2 linked regions of the Arabidopsis thaliana genome follow. The protein of the gene in region 1 interacts with the protein of each later gene in a biochemical or structural test. Each region holds a gene or a part of one and is shown in the gene's direction. Other genes may lie near its edges.

Evidence for each region. Proteins that work in one complex are often made in the same cells at the same time.
Region 2: of the proteins of MPK18 (region 1) and PHS1, one has a biochemical effect on the other in vitro, tested with the Arabidopsis thaliana proteins (one study listed by BioGRID).

The regions. Positions count from the first base shown.
Region 1 is NC_003070.9:19,969,820-19,976,131, reverse strand, and holds MPK18 (mitogen-activated protein kinase 18), read left to right. Parts: upstream 1-1,738; 5' UTR 1,739-1,973; coding exon 1,974-1,997; intron 1,998-2,205; coding exon 2,206-2,614; intron 2,615-2,710; coding exon 2,711-2,838; intron 2,839-2,928; coding exon 2,929-2,988; intron 2,989-3,324; coding exon 3,325-3,474; intron 3,475-3,562; coding exon 3,563-3,718; intron 3,719-3,837; coding exon 3,838-4,049; intron 4,050-4,183; coding exon 4,184-4,285; intron 4,286-4,491; coding exon 4,492-4,667; intron 4,668-4,740; coding exon 4,741-5,171; 3' UTR 5,172-5,798; downstream 5,799-6,312. UniProt on the Arabidopsis thaliana protein: Mitogen-activated protein kinase (MAPK) that is specifically regulated by PHS1 and MAPKKK20 and mediates signaling that regulates cortical microtubule functions, maybe through regulation of microtubule dynamic instability.
Region 2 is NC_003076.8:7,996,460-8,003,358, forward strand, and holds PHS1 (dual specificity protein phosphatase family protein), read left to right. Parts: upstream 1-1,737; 5' UTR 1,738-1,849; coding exon 1,850-1,891; exon of another isoform or gene 1,892-2,046; coding exon of another isoform or gene 2,047-2,061; coding exon 2,062-2,139; intron 2,140-2,229; coding exon 2,230-2,372; intron 2,373-2,507; coding exon 2,508-2,709; intron 2,710-2,781; coding exon 2,782-2,958; intron 2,959-3,062; coding exon 3,063-3,223; intron 3,224-3,705; coding exon 3,706-4,801; intron 4,802-4,946; coding exon 4,947-5,093; intron 5,094-5,210; coding exon 5,211-5,438; intron 5,439-5,537; coding exon 5,538-5,695; intron 5,696-5,777; coding exon 5,778-6,135; 3' UTR 6,136-6,389; downstream 6,390-6,899. Other genes in the region: AT5G23710 (DNA binding / DNA-directed RNA polymerase), read right to left, coding at 69-761. UniProt on the Arabidopsis thaliana protein: Probable dual specificity phosphatase that binds and dephosphorylates MPK18, modulating the organization and dynamics of cortical microtubules.

The DNA.
Region 1 (6,312 bases):
GTGTGCCCTTTACCACATGCAACTTCTTCTCTCACTGGACCACATTTACACATTATATTTTGGTTTATTATTAGGATGCATTGTCTTTTATTCATCAACATTATTATATTTGCACTAATAATATAGAGTTGTTGGCAACCAAAAGTTAAGAAAACAATAATATATAGTTGTGCACAAATTATCATTATTTATGGGTGATCCCTTTTTTCTTCTATCATTATATATGGTTCATGGAATTTTAATAAGATGTAACTCAAATAAATAAACAAACAAAATAAATCTGCTTGGTGGAGATATTTTGGCTCCTCCAGTCAAAACTCTAAAACATACATACACGAAAAGCATGATTCATGTGATGAATGGTAATATTGTGTCCACTCTGTTGAATTCTGACTCATGATTATATATATATATATATATATCTTCGAATTATTAAACTTGCAATTCAAAATATTATATATATCATTTTGAAAAACCATTAAAACTATTTTAAAAATAGATATGCTGGTTATATATATTATGCAGAGCCTGGTCTAAATAGATAGAACCAGTCAACCATCATTTATATTTATCTTTGGCCGATAATTATTTTAAAATGCGCACTTAGTCAAAAGAGAGTAAAATTATGATTTTAAAACCGAAAGTAGAAGAAAATGAAAAGCAATGAAATATGCAAAAAGGATCAACTTTAGTTATAAGTTATAACGCCTTAAAATATTGACAATAAATTGACACATGCACCACCTACATCGTCGTATAGTGTGAAATTATATGGAGTATGATAATTTGAAATTATGATATTTTGTACTTTAGATAATGAACCAACTTTGGATTTGAATGCCTCAGATACAAATGAATAATAAGATGTTGGATTTGTTTTAATCAAGATCAGTTATAATATTATCATAATCTTCACCTTTTTGTGGATTTGCCCCTATTGTGATAAACTTTTAATATGAGCCAGACACTAAATATGTTGGTCTTTTCAATAAATACAAAAGCCAAATTGTGTAAATTGACATGTGAATATTAGTTTCACACGAATTGCAAAATTATTAATCTATTTATTTTATTTTATTTTCTATCAAATACTAAGTCATATACCAATGAGGATGGCAGTTTTTTTTTTTCTTTTGATTTTGTTTTTATCATCCCATAGTATCAAGCAAACAACTTGACACTTGGAAGGTCTTTTTCTCAAGGTTAGTTGATTTACATGGAATAAATGTTCATCAAAGATGGTATTTTATCCTAATATATTAATCGTGTATCGTCTTTACCAAAATAAATTAAAATCTAAGACAAATATCCTTCAACAATATTTATTTACATATGAATTAGTCAATTGTATATAGATTTTTCAATCTTAAAAATTTAAATCAAGGAATATAATAAGCAAAATTGAGATAATGTTAATAATATTCCTTTCAGTGGTACGAGAAATACTATCACGTGGGGGTTAAATTGACCACTTATCAAAAAGAATGGTTAGAATCAAAACAAAATTAAGATAGGGGTCAAAATCGGAATTTAAGAAAAATAAAACGGTCCAAGTCCAGCAACAGGTGTCTAAACCATTGGGTCATTTTCCAAAAAGGTCGTCCACAGACCACAGTGGGAGAAAACCAATATTTACTTTACCCTCAAATGTTGTCTAAAACTACGAAACTGCCACTATCTGGGATTTGTCACACCCGTACGCAATAAGTACCACGAGAAATTGCTAGAATTAGAAATTATTTTTATTCAAATTTAGAAAAAATATCTCAAATTCGGTATTTTTAAAATCCTCTCTCGTCTTCTTCTTCTTCGATCGCTGGATCTAGGTTTTGCTCTTCTCTGTATCGTCTTCTTCACAGACTGGGCTTGATTTTGAGTTCTTCTAGTTTTCGGATTCTTAGCAATCTAGGTTTTTTTTTTTTTTTTACTTTTCGAAAAGCCGATCCAGATTTTTGATAATTTTGAAGAAGAAGATGCAACAAAATCAAGTGAAGAAGGTTCGCTTCTTGCTCTCTATCTCTCTCAATCATGCTTTGATTCTAAATGTGGGAAACAGAGGATAAAGTCTTATCCTTTTACAAATTTAAAGACAAAAAAAATAAAATCTTTCCTTTTTCAATTGCAATTAGGTTTGGTTTTGTTGCATGAGCATAAATAAGATGTGTGGATAAAGTTTGTGTTTTGTCTACTTTTGTGATTCACTAGGGCACGAAAGAGATGGAGTTTTTCACAGAGTATGGTGATGCAAACAGATATAGGATTCTGGAAGTTATTGGTAAAGGAAGCTATGGAGTTGTGTGTGCAGCTATTGATACACATACTGGAGAGAAAGTTGCTATTAAGAAGATTAATGATGTCTTTGAACATATTTCTGATGCGCTTCGTATTCTCCGTGAAGTGAAGCTTCTTCGGCTTTTACGGCATCCTGATATTGTGGAGATCAAAAGCATTATGCTGCCTCCTTCTAAGAGAGAGTTTAAAGATATCTATGTTGTGTTTGAGCTCATGGAATCAGATCTTCATCAAGTTATTAAAGCTAATGATGATTTGACTCGTGAACACCACCAGTTTTTCCTTTATCAGATGCTTCGTGCTTTAAAGTTCATGCATACAGGTGTGATTCGTTTCATTGTTTCAGACCTGTGAATCTTGGCAGCATGTTTTGTATTTTTTCTGGTTGTAACTTACTGTTATCCTTTTGTTCATGCAGCTAATGTTTATCACCGTGATCTTAAGCCAAAGAATATACTTGCAAACGCAAATTGCAAGTTGAAAGTTTGTGACTTTGGATTGGCTAGAGTAGCGTTTAATGATACTCCTACGACAGTCTTTTGGACGGTTAGTAGCCTCGAGGAGGAGACCTTTTGTTTGTTAGCCGTTAATTTGTGTGTTTGATTTTTCTCTCTGACTCATTTAATCGCAATGCAGGACTATGTTGCCACAAGATGGTATAGAGCACCTGAGCTCTGTGGATCATTCTTTTCGAAGGTAGGTGTTACTGTGGATTTCTTCTATGCATTCTAATTGGCTATGCTTAGGTCTTATGAACAGATTAGTCTTCTTTAGTGTAGAATATATGCAGATTAGTGTTAATAGCTGATATTTGATGTTACTTGTATAAGTATAGAGTTGTGCCCCAGTGGGATATTAAAATAATTCTTGTTCAGGGATGACTTGAACTCTCCCCGAAGTTGAAAATCTATGAATCAGGTAACCTTGTATCAGGTTATGTTCATTGAGTGGTTTCTTTTGCATCTGCAACTTCATATTCATGGATTTTGTTTTTTCATCATAATCTGATTTACAGTCAAAATTATTCTGCAGTACACTCCAGCTATCGACGTTTGGAGCATTGGCTGCATCTTTGCAGAGGTACTAACAGGGAAGCCATTGTTTCCGGGAAAAAGTGTTGTCCATCAGTTGGAGTTGATTACTGATCTTCTTGGCACACCAAAATCAGAAACAATTTCTGGAGTATGATCCGTTTTTCTTCTTCACATTAATTTCTGGAGTACGTATATATATTGAACTGTATAGCTAAACATTTATTTCTCTGATGCAGGTTCGTAATGATAAAGCTAGAAAATACTTGACTGAAATGAGGAAGAAAAATCCTGTCACCTTCTCGCAAAAATTTTCCAAAGCAGATCCATTAGCACTCCGTCTTTTGCAGAGGCTGTTGGCTTTCGATCCAAAGGATCGACCGACTCCTGCAGAGGTCTCTTTTCTGTCTTTTTCACTTTGTAATTAGATTCTTCTTCGGTCCTCTTTGTAAAGCTGCCTTGCGTCTTGTGTGTATCTCTCTGCTTACTTTGCTATCTTTTTGTTTTTCGATAGGCATTAGCTGATCCTTACTTCAAGGGTCTTTCTAAGATTGAAAGAGAACCTTCAAGTCAGCAAATCTCGAAAATGGAGTTTGAATTTGAGAGGCGAAGGTTGACAAAGGACGACATTAGAGAACTAATATACAGAGAAATACTGGAGTACCATCCTCAGTTGCTCAAGGACTATATGAGCGGATCTGAGGGGTCTAATTTTGTATATCCTAGGTTTGAATTTCTTCCTACCTTTTATTATTATTTACCAAATGAAACATTTCTTGTTTCTTTCTCCCGTTGAATTTATGTCCAATCGCGTACCTCTGCCTGGCTTTTTATTCATGTTTTTACTTTTTCACTTGCAGCGCCATTGGACATCTTAGACAGCAGTTCACTTACTTAGAGGAAAATAGCAGTAGAAATGGGCCGGTCATACCTCTCGAGAGGAAACACGCATCACTACCGCGGTATGTTTTCTCATTCTTTATATACAAGTCGACTGTAGGGAATATGCTTATTCTTTTGTTCTTTCTTCTGCTACTGCTTAGCATTTGTGAAGCATATGGTCGAAGGCCTCAAGCAAACTTTCATATGTTCTCTACTCTTCTAATTCTAAAAACTTTCATATGTTCTCTACTCTTCTAATTCTAATAGATATGATTGTTTTCCACAGGTCTACGGTTCACTCAACTGTAGTCCATTCCACCTCGCAACCCAACTTGGGTGCAACAGATAGTAGACGTGTTTCTTTCGAGCCTTCAAAAAATGGAGCTTCTTCTGCAGGACATCCATCAACTTCCGCGTATCCTACTAAATCCATCGGACCTCCACCAAGAGTTCCACCATCAGGTCTCAATCATATCTCCAAATATTATTTCCTAAAGTTAGAAACTTCAACTAACTTTCACCCTATGTTTTACAGGTAGACCAGGTCGTGTTGTGGAATCATCTGTATCTTATGAGAATGGCAGGAACCTCAAAGAAGCTTATTTCAGAAGCGCGGTTTCATCTCCTCATTGCTACTTCCGACCAAACACCATGACAAACCCGGAGAACCGCAACATAGAAGCTTCGTCTTTTCCACCAAAGCCACAAAATCCTGTCCACCAATTCAGTCCCACTGAGCCACCAGCTGCTACAACTAACCAAGCAGACGTTGAGACTATGAACCACCCAAACCCTTACTTTCAACCACAGCTCCCGAAGACAGATCAATTAAACAACAACACACATATGGCCATTGATGCTAAGCTGTTGCAGGCACAATCACAGTTTGGTCCAGCAGGAGCTGCAGCGGTTGCAGTAGCAGCACACCGGAACATAGGCACAATTAGTTACAGCGCAGCATCATAGACAACACTTCAGACAGATCTTTAACCACCACATCTTCCTCCACCAGGTGATTCTCTAGTTTTTATGTAAGTATTATTCAGTCCAGGCTCTGATATGAACTACGTTGCAATGATATAAGAAAGACTTTTATTTAGTTGTAACTCTCCAGAACAAGATCGCCTTGGATTAGTCTGATTGCGGGTCAGTCCCGGTTATTGTTTCGGTTATCTTGTTGGCTCCATAATCTTTGAATTTGCCATAAGCGTAGTTCACCGTAGAGAAGAATATCGTGGTGATTATATACTTCTTAAACTTCTTAATCGGTCCCATTAGTCTTTATTGTTCTTCAACAAAAAAAGGAATCTCTTTGGTTATTGGAAAATATGGTCTTGATTGGTTAATATAGACAACATTATGCCGAAGAATGTGGAAGTAACAAAATAAAACATTGGTCCTTAGATTTTTCTTCTGTAAACCACTCTTTCTCAGATTATATAATTAGTCAATTTTATTCAATGGTTACAAAAAGAAAAAAAAAAACTTGCCAATGAAAAAAAGGAATGCTCTTGACCTCAAGACTCATCATGGTTAACAATGAAATTCGCCTTAACTTCGAAATTTTGACGCCGTTGAAATGTTTATAATTTACCCGCCAAGTTTGTAGGCCTGAGTTTAGCCCATTAAAGGTAATATTAGGCGTCCATTAATCATAACGAATATCACTTTCTCAATTTAACAAGTCATGAGAAAGTGTACACATTTGATCTATTTAATATTTATTAACCAAAAAGGAAGCAAATCAATTATTTCGTTACGTGACGGTGGCATTAAGCATCTTGCATTGAATGATCCGTTATATATAATCTCAGGTTTTTTTTGGGTTGAAATGATGATATTAAATTTTAGGTTGACATGTACTTATCTTTGTAATCAACTAATTAAATATTTGAACTGACATGTCTACGTTATATCATAAATAAACCAGGTGTTTTAATTAAATACCACGATTAACCTTCTAAAATAAGGAAAATCATATTTTATTCGTCAATCACTATAATTTGGAAAACGATGCAATATATTTATTTCTTTCTTTATACACATACTTAATTAATTATCAAAATTTCATTCTATTTTAATTGATCTGAAATGTCCTAATTTAGTA
Region 2 (6,899 bases), on another chromosome or scaffold:
GAAAAAACAAATCATCATAATCTAAAATCTTAAGTTTTAAACCCAAAAAAAAAAAAAAAAAGAGAGTGCTAAAAGTCTAACCATTTCTGAAAATAAACACATGTAGTGGGAGAGATAACACCATCAGGTGAACAGATCGCTATATGCGGACAAACCCCGCAAGGAATCGAAGCAAAAGCTCCAGCTCTCGGTTCGCCATTACCGAACTTTTTCCCGGTCAACCTGTAGCAAACTTCTCCGATTCTCGTAGAAGCAAACTCATTCATTCCATTACTCTTCACCTCCATGATCAAATTATCCAAAATCAAGTTCTTAAGTATCTCCTTAGTCTGATCAACACTCAGCTTCTCCTCTTTAACAAAATACCCACACAAAACCTCCAAAGTAACAACCCTCTGCCTATGCCTCTCCAAAATCATCACACACTTGGCTTTCAAATCTTCGATTTTCGACAGGTCAAGAGCTCCATCAGTGTACCATTCACCACCAGTAAGTTCACTACAAGGCTCAAACTCCATTGCAAGATAATGTTTGACACCTTTGTTGTTCATGTTTGCTACTTCTTTGATGAGATTCTTCTTCCGTAGAGAAGCGATCAATCGAGTAACTATAGTTGCTGGGATCGTTTTCTCGCGTTTCAATTCGAACATAGTTGCGCCTCTTCCTTGGTTTATTCGAATCAGATCCAGAAGCTTCTTCTCGTGTGGCTCGTTTAGATCACCTCCCGATGATTTCGGATCCGGACGTTTTCGTTTACTCATTCTTACAAATTCACCAAACTGCAAAAATCAATCGGAATTGTGACACGGTAATTGAGAGAATTCGTGTGATTTACGAAAAGGATTGATCTATACTATAAGAAGGTGATAAAATCGATGATTCTGAGATTACAAAGGATTTTGGTGAAGATTCAGATTCAATTTACCTGGAGATTGGTTTACTGGAGATGAACAATCCGATGAATATAGAGGCTTTAGGAGAGTTCAGAGAACGGAGAAGTCGTCCGTGACTGGAACGGATACGAAAACCCTAGGTCTGCTTTTAGCTAAATATATAAGACAGAGAAGAAAGTCAAATATATTAGTGTGGGCCTAAACTAATACACAACAAAAGGTAACTCGAAGTGGATTGGTACATATTGTTCAGGATTTTTGTTAATTCAATATGAGATTTCGCTATACAAGTTGGTTTAGATAAAAACATGTAGATTAAAAATATTTATTTTTAAAAAATTCAATTTATTTTTTAAAAATAGAAATAATTATAAAGTATTAAAATAATATATAATTTGCATAAAATTTTGAAAATAATTTATATTGTAAAACAAAAAATTTGGTCCAAAACAATTTATATTGTAAAACAAAGAAAGTATATATTTTTGATTTTTTACTAATATTTATGCTTATTAATTTTCAGAAATAAGTTGACAAAAAAATTCTATAAATATTTTATTTTATTAGACTGAACTTTTTCAGATTAAACCATAAACTTTAGTGAATATTTTTTAAAATCTAAAACCATTTTTGTATAAATGTTGTTGATTTCGACCGAAATAGTTTCATACAAAATATAGTTTTAAATAATAACACAAAACGGAAATAAAATAAAATTAGAAGACAGTTCTGTAAATAATAATATGTTTATTTTTTTAAATCTTGAATAATGAGAATAAAATGATCAGAGTCTTTATTACAATAATAAATTTATGAAATTAAATATCCGTCTTCTTTCTTCGTCCGACAAGTTCATATTAATTAAAGATACCTTGAGACTTTCCTCTTCTCAGATACAAAGCTGACATTTGAAGAAAAAGACATTTCTAAAATTAAACAGAACCTAAGCTTTTGCAATGGCGGAACCTGAGAAGAAGCGAGATCAACCATTTTCTCAAGTAATCATCCTTCATTTTTCCCCCACAAATTTAATAATCTATCATTATCACCCCCACCTTTTGCGTTCATCATTACCCCCACATTTATCTCTCCCTCTTTTCGCAGAGCCAGATTTTGATTTTGATTTTTTCCCCTTTTTCTCTGATCTGATATTATGGTGCTATCGCAGGAAAAAGACGAAGAGAAAGATCTATACCTTGTTCACGACGAGCACGAGTCTCCTCTTCCTCTCACCGTCACTTCTCGTGTAAATTTCTCCGATCCTAAATTCGTTTTAGGTTTTAGGGTTATATTAATAGTCTCGTCTTAAAAATTGGAAGACTTTTGGAATTTGCAGGTTTTGTACATGTTAGGAGATATAGCATCTGGTCCAGCTTATAGGTTTACTCAATGGTTGGATTTAGTTCGTAAACGAAGTGCTACTTACGGATCCTCTGGCTTCCCTCACCGCCTTCACCGCATCGATGATATGGTCACTAGGTTAACACTTTCTCTGACTTTTTGTCAAGTACTTGGTTTGTTGATTATGATTTTGGAATCTTATGAGTATATCAGAACAAAGGTTTCTAAATTAGGATATTAGTCTTCATGTCAGTTGATACAAGTATTATCCAGTGCAGGAGAGAGGAATACTGATCCTAAAAGTCCACCAAGTAGGCAGAGTTCAGAGATTAGTTTGTGGGAAAGGCTTGGTAAAGCTTCTACTGTGGATATTGATTCGAGCTGTTTTTCATGGAATATGTTGTCTTCACTTCATCATACTGAACATAGTAGTAGCACTGATCATTCTGAAGAAGACCAGAGTAAACCACTTGAGGTATATATATCATTATGATCTTGGACTGGTGATGCTAGGAGGATCTTTTGACACTATTAGATGTCTGTACAGGTTACTGTGAATTCTGGAGGAGTTGTTTTCTTTGCCCTGTTCAATAGTTCCAGCTCTGAAGATGCCTCTCGTAAGGAAGAAGCAGCAGTTATTAAATTTGCATCATCGAGGATGGCCACGCAATCAGAACGTCTAGGTTATGAGTTTTCCAAGTGGCTAGGGGTGCAGATTCCGCAGGTGCTTCTTTTCTTTCTTGTAGTTTTTTAAAAATGTAGTAATGGTTTTGCTCATTTCACTTTCTTTCTAGAATTTTCAAGTAATGAGTAATCATCATGCGACAGGCTAGAGTAATTCACAGCTGTAATCCTGAGTGGACACTGATCAAAGAAGCCACTGAAAAAGCACAAGCTAAAGCGACTTCGGAGGGGGACGAGGTTGGTGAAATGACATGTTCAGAACTTCTGGAAGCCCTTGAGCTCAGCCGTTGTCTTCTCTTAATGAGGTGAAAGCACAAGATTCATCTTTATTCTTTATCACTTTTCTCCATTTTTTACTTGGACCAGCAGCATAATGTTGACAGTTTTTTTGTTCCTTTGCATTAGTGTTTAACTAGATGATAGTAAACCATTTGAAATATGAATATACCATTTGATAATATATTTTAAGAAAAATAAAAGATGTTATGTTATTAGATATAAAAATTGTATTATAAAATAAGAAAGATCTAAATTACAAATATGAGGTGGAATTATTTTATTGGATAAAATTTGATAACAACAGTTAAACAGAAATCTAATCTTGCTTTAAATGATAATAAATATGAGAGAAATAGCTGAACAGAAATCTAGTCTTACCTAATAGGATTATGTAAAATCTAGTCTTACCTAATAGGATCATGTAGGCACTTTCAAATTTACAATTTTTAATGTGATGTTTGTATAGAACCCCTCTTCTTAGCCCAGGATTCTCTATATGTGATTACAGTTATGTTCATGGATGTCCAATGCTGGAGAGCATGAGTAGTTTTGAAACTGAAGAAAAAGCAGAGAGAGCTGCTGCAGCTCTAGGGAGAATCTTGGTGTTAGATCTAGTAATTAGGAATGAAGACAGATTACCGTGTCGTCAGCTGAGATGGCGTGGCAACCCGGCAAATCTGTTACTGACAGACAGAATTGTGTCTTCTGCAAAGCATCATGAATGTTCATTTGATGAAGCTTTTGATTCCGCCATCAAACGGTACCATCCAAAGGACTATAGATCCATTCAAAGGGAAAGAAGAGCTTCTTCCGTAGATAGCAGATCCAGGTTGAGTATCAGTGATCAAATGTTGGTCTCACAGGCTTCTGATTTTTCTGATATAACGGAATCACCTAGATCATATGATACTGGTTTAATGAGTCCAATGTCTGATAGATCAGTAGCTGCCGATTTTCACCTCGTTGCCATAGACTCGGGTGTTCCACGGCGGCCTCCTGCTGGAAAACGGGCAAGCGACCAAGAAATTTATCCAAGATTAGTTGAGTTACTCCTCAATAGTAGCCAATATTCTTCGAATTTGTTACATGAAATAACAGAAGGAAGTTTAGGATATCCACAGGCAGAAGATGGTGAAGAAACATCTAATGTTCGATCTGTAGTAACACCAGTTGTACGCGAGTTTCGAAATGGTTTCCGAGCTGGTCTCAGGGATTTGCAAGAGTTTCACATCTTCCTTGTCACCCTTCATCAGAAATTAGATGTGTTGCTTCGGGCATTTTTTAGTATGATGGACAAAACAATGTGTGCAGATTTTGACAGAGAAGACTTTGCTGTTCCTGAGTCACCTTCACATACTCATGGGCATGAGGTGAATCATTATCCATCTCCCTCAAAAGATCGGGTGCCTAGTGATAACAGCTCTGATCACAGTGAGTCAGATATGCAAAAATCAGTTCCTAGGACACCAAATTCAGAAAACAAAGAAGACGGGTCTTCGCCTAAGTCACGTGAAAGTTGGCACGGAAGATCCGGTAAAGGTGGAGAATCTCTTAGCAGTCAGCGTTTGGCAGCAAAGCTCCGTGACTTCCATAAGTTTGCAAAGGTTTGTCGCTTCGAGCTTTGATCACTATGTTCTAATTTGTAAAGTAGGTTCAGATTTTTTATAAAAAAAAAAGTTTGTCTTCTTGGATGGAAGTTCTCAGCCATTTTCTCTTTCTTCACTCTCAATATTTTCATGGTGCGTCCAGGTTGATGCTGAGTCTAATAAAGAACTAGACCAGTGGAATGAAACACTGCGGAATGAAGTGATGAAACTTTGCCAAGAGAACGGTTTCAACACTGGTTTTTTTGAGGGCAGTGATAATAACAGTTGCACAGATGCTTATGAGCTAAAGGTATCATGAAGTTTTATTATTTCCTTTTATCCTGAATATGATCTTCATTATATAATATAGTTTTTGGCAACTGAACTCAAACATTGTCTCTCTTGTTTGCATTCTCCTTGATAACAGGTTAGACTTGAGCATATTCTTGAGAGGATATCATTGATTAGCAAAGCTGCTAATACAGAGAAACCATCAATGATACAAGAAAATCTTTTTATCGGGGGAGGATTGGCTGCAAGGTCGATTTACACTCTTCAGCATTTAGGTATAACTCATGTTCTATGTTTGTGCGCTAATGAAATCGGGCAATCGGATACTCAATACCCGGATCTCTTCGAGTACCAAAACTTCTCAGTAAGTGAACCTGTCTTATATGTCTCTTAAAAGGAATTGGTAAAAAAAAATGCATCTATAAAGATGATCGTTTTCTTCTTGTGTCTTCCCTTTGACCAGATAACCGATGATGAAGACTCAAATATCGAGAGCATCTTTCAAGAAGCTCTCGATTTCATCAAGCATGGCGAAGAAACTGGTGGCAAGATTTTAGTTCATTGCTTCGAAGGTCGGAGTAGAAGCGCAACAGTAGTGCTTGCTTACCTAATGCTCCAAAAGTAAGTTGTTGGGGACAAATAAAATTTGTTGGAAATTTTCAATACTTGTTCTCATTTGTTTACTGGTGGGAACAATAAATAGGAAGCTCACACTTTTAGAAGCATGGAGCAAACTGAGGAAAGTTCATAGACGAGCTCAACCGAATGATGGATTTGCGCGGATCTTAATAAACCTCGACAAGAAATGTCACGGGAAAGTATCAATGGAGTGGAGACAGAGGAAACCGACAATGAAAGTGTGTCCGGTTTGTGGAAAGAACGCAGGTCTAAGCAGCAGTTCTTTGAAGCTTCATCTCCAGAAATCTCACAGGAAACTGTCTTCGGGAAGTGTTGACAGTGCAATGAACATGGAGATTCAAAAGGCTTTGGAGGCTCTTAAACTCAGCACTGGCCGTGGCTCAAGTGCTAGTTCCAATTCTTTCCAATCTCATCCTGGTTAGAGAGTCCGGTTTGGTTTTATCTATGGTTTGTCCCGGTTAAAGTCTCTCTAATCGTACATCTCTGAACAAAAACATTGATCTGTTTTGTTTTGTTTTTTACTGTAACGATCTTTGTACTTGTATACGCAAGTAAATAAAAAGCCGAAAAGCTGAATAGAAGTCACTGGGAAACGTCATAATAAGCTAATGTAACATTTGTAACTCTTTTTCCCTTGTGCTTTGTGTTAAGAAAGTAAGATTTGGCCCAAAAATGTCATAAAACTAAAAAATTGATTGCGTAATCAAACAAAAGTTCCCTTTCATTTTCGATATAATAAACTAAAAAAATTTGACATTCTTTCCGGCGTGCACATTGATGAAAGTGAACTCTTGTTAACTTTCATTTGTGACTTGTATGGAGTACAAGACGTGCGTGATGTGCCAGACGACGGAGAAAGATGAAGGAATCATGAGGTGGTATATGTATGAAGAATGGCTATGGAAAGCAGACAAAGTAAAAATTGATTGAAATATTGGGGAACATAAATGCAAATCTAATTTGATGTTAAATCTATGTGGGAAATCTGATAACGGTGGATCGTCTTTGTGGACCAACTTGGTGTTAGCTTTTTTTCCAACTACTTATTAATTTATCCATTCCTTTGTTAATGACTAGTCTCTCCTTTAAGTCATCCTTTAAGTTGCTTTTGTATCTCCACTTTATTCTCTGCCTTCTTTTTCATGGGAAAGTTGCACATCAGAAGCACCAATGAACTTGTAATGAA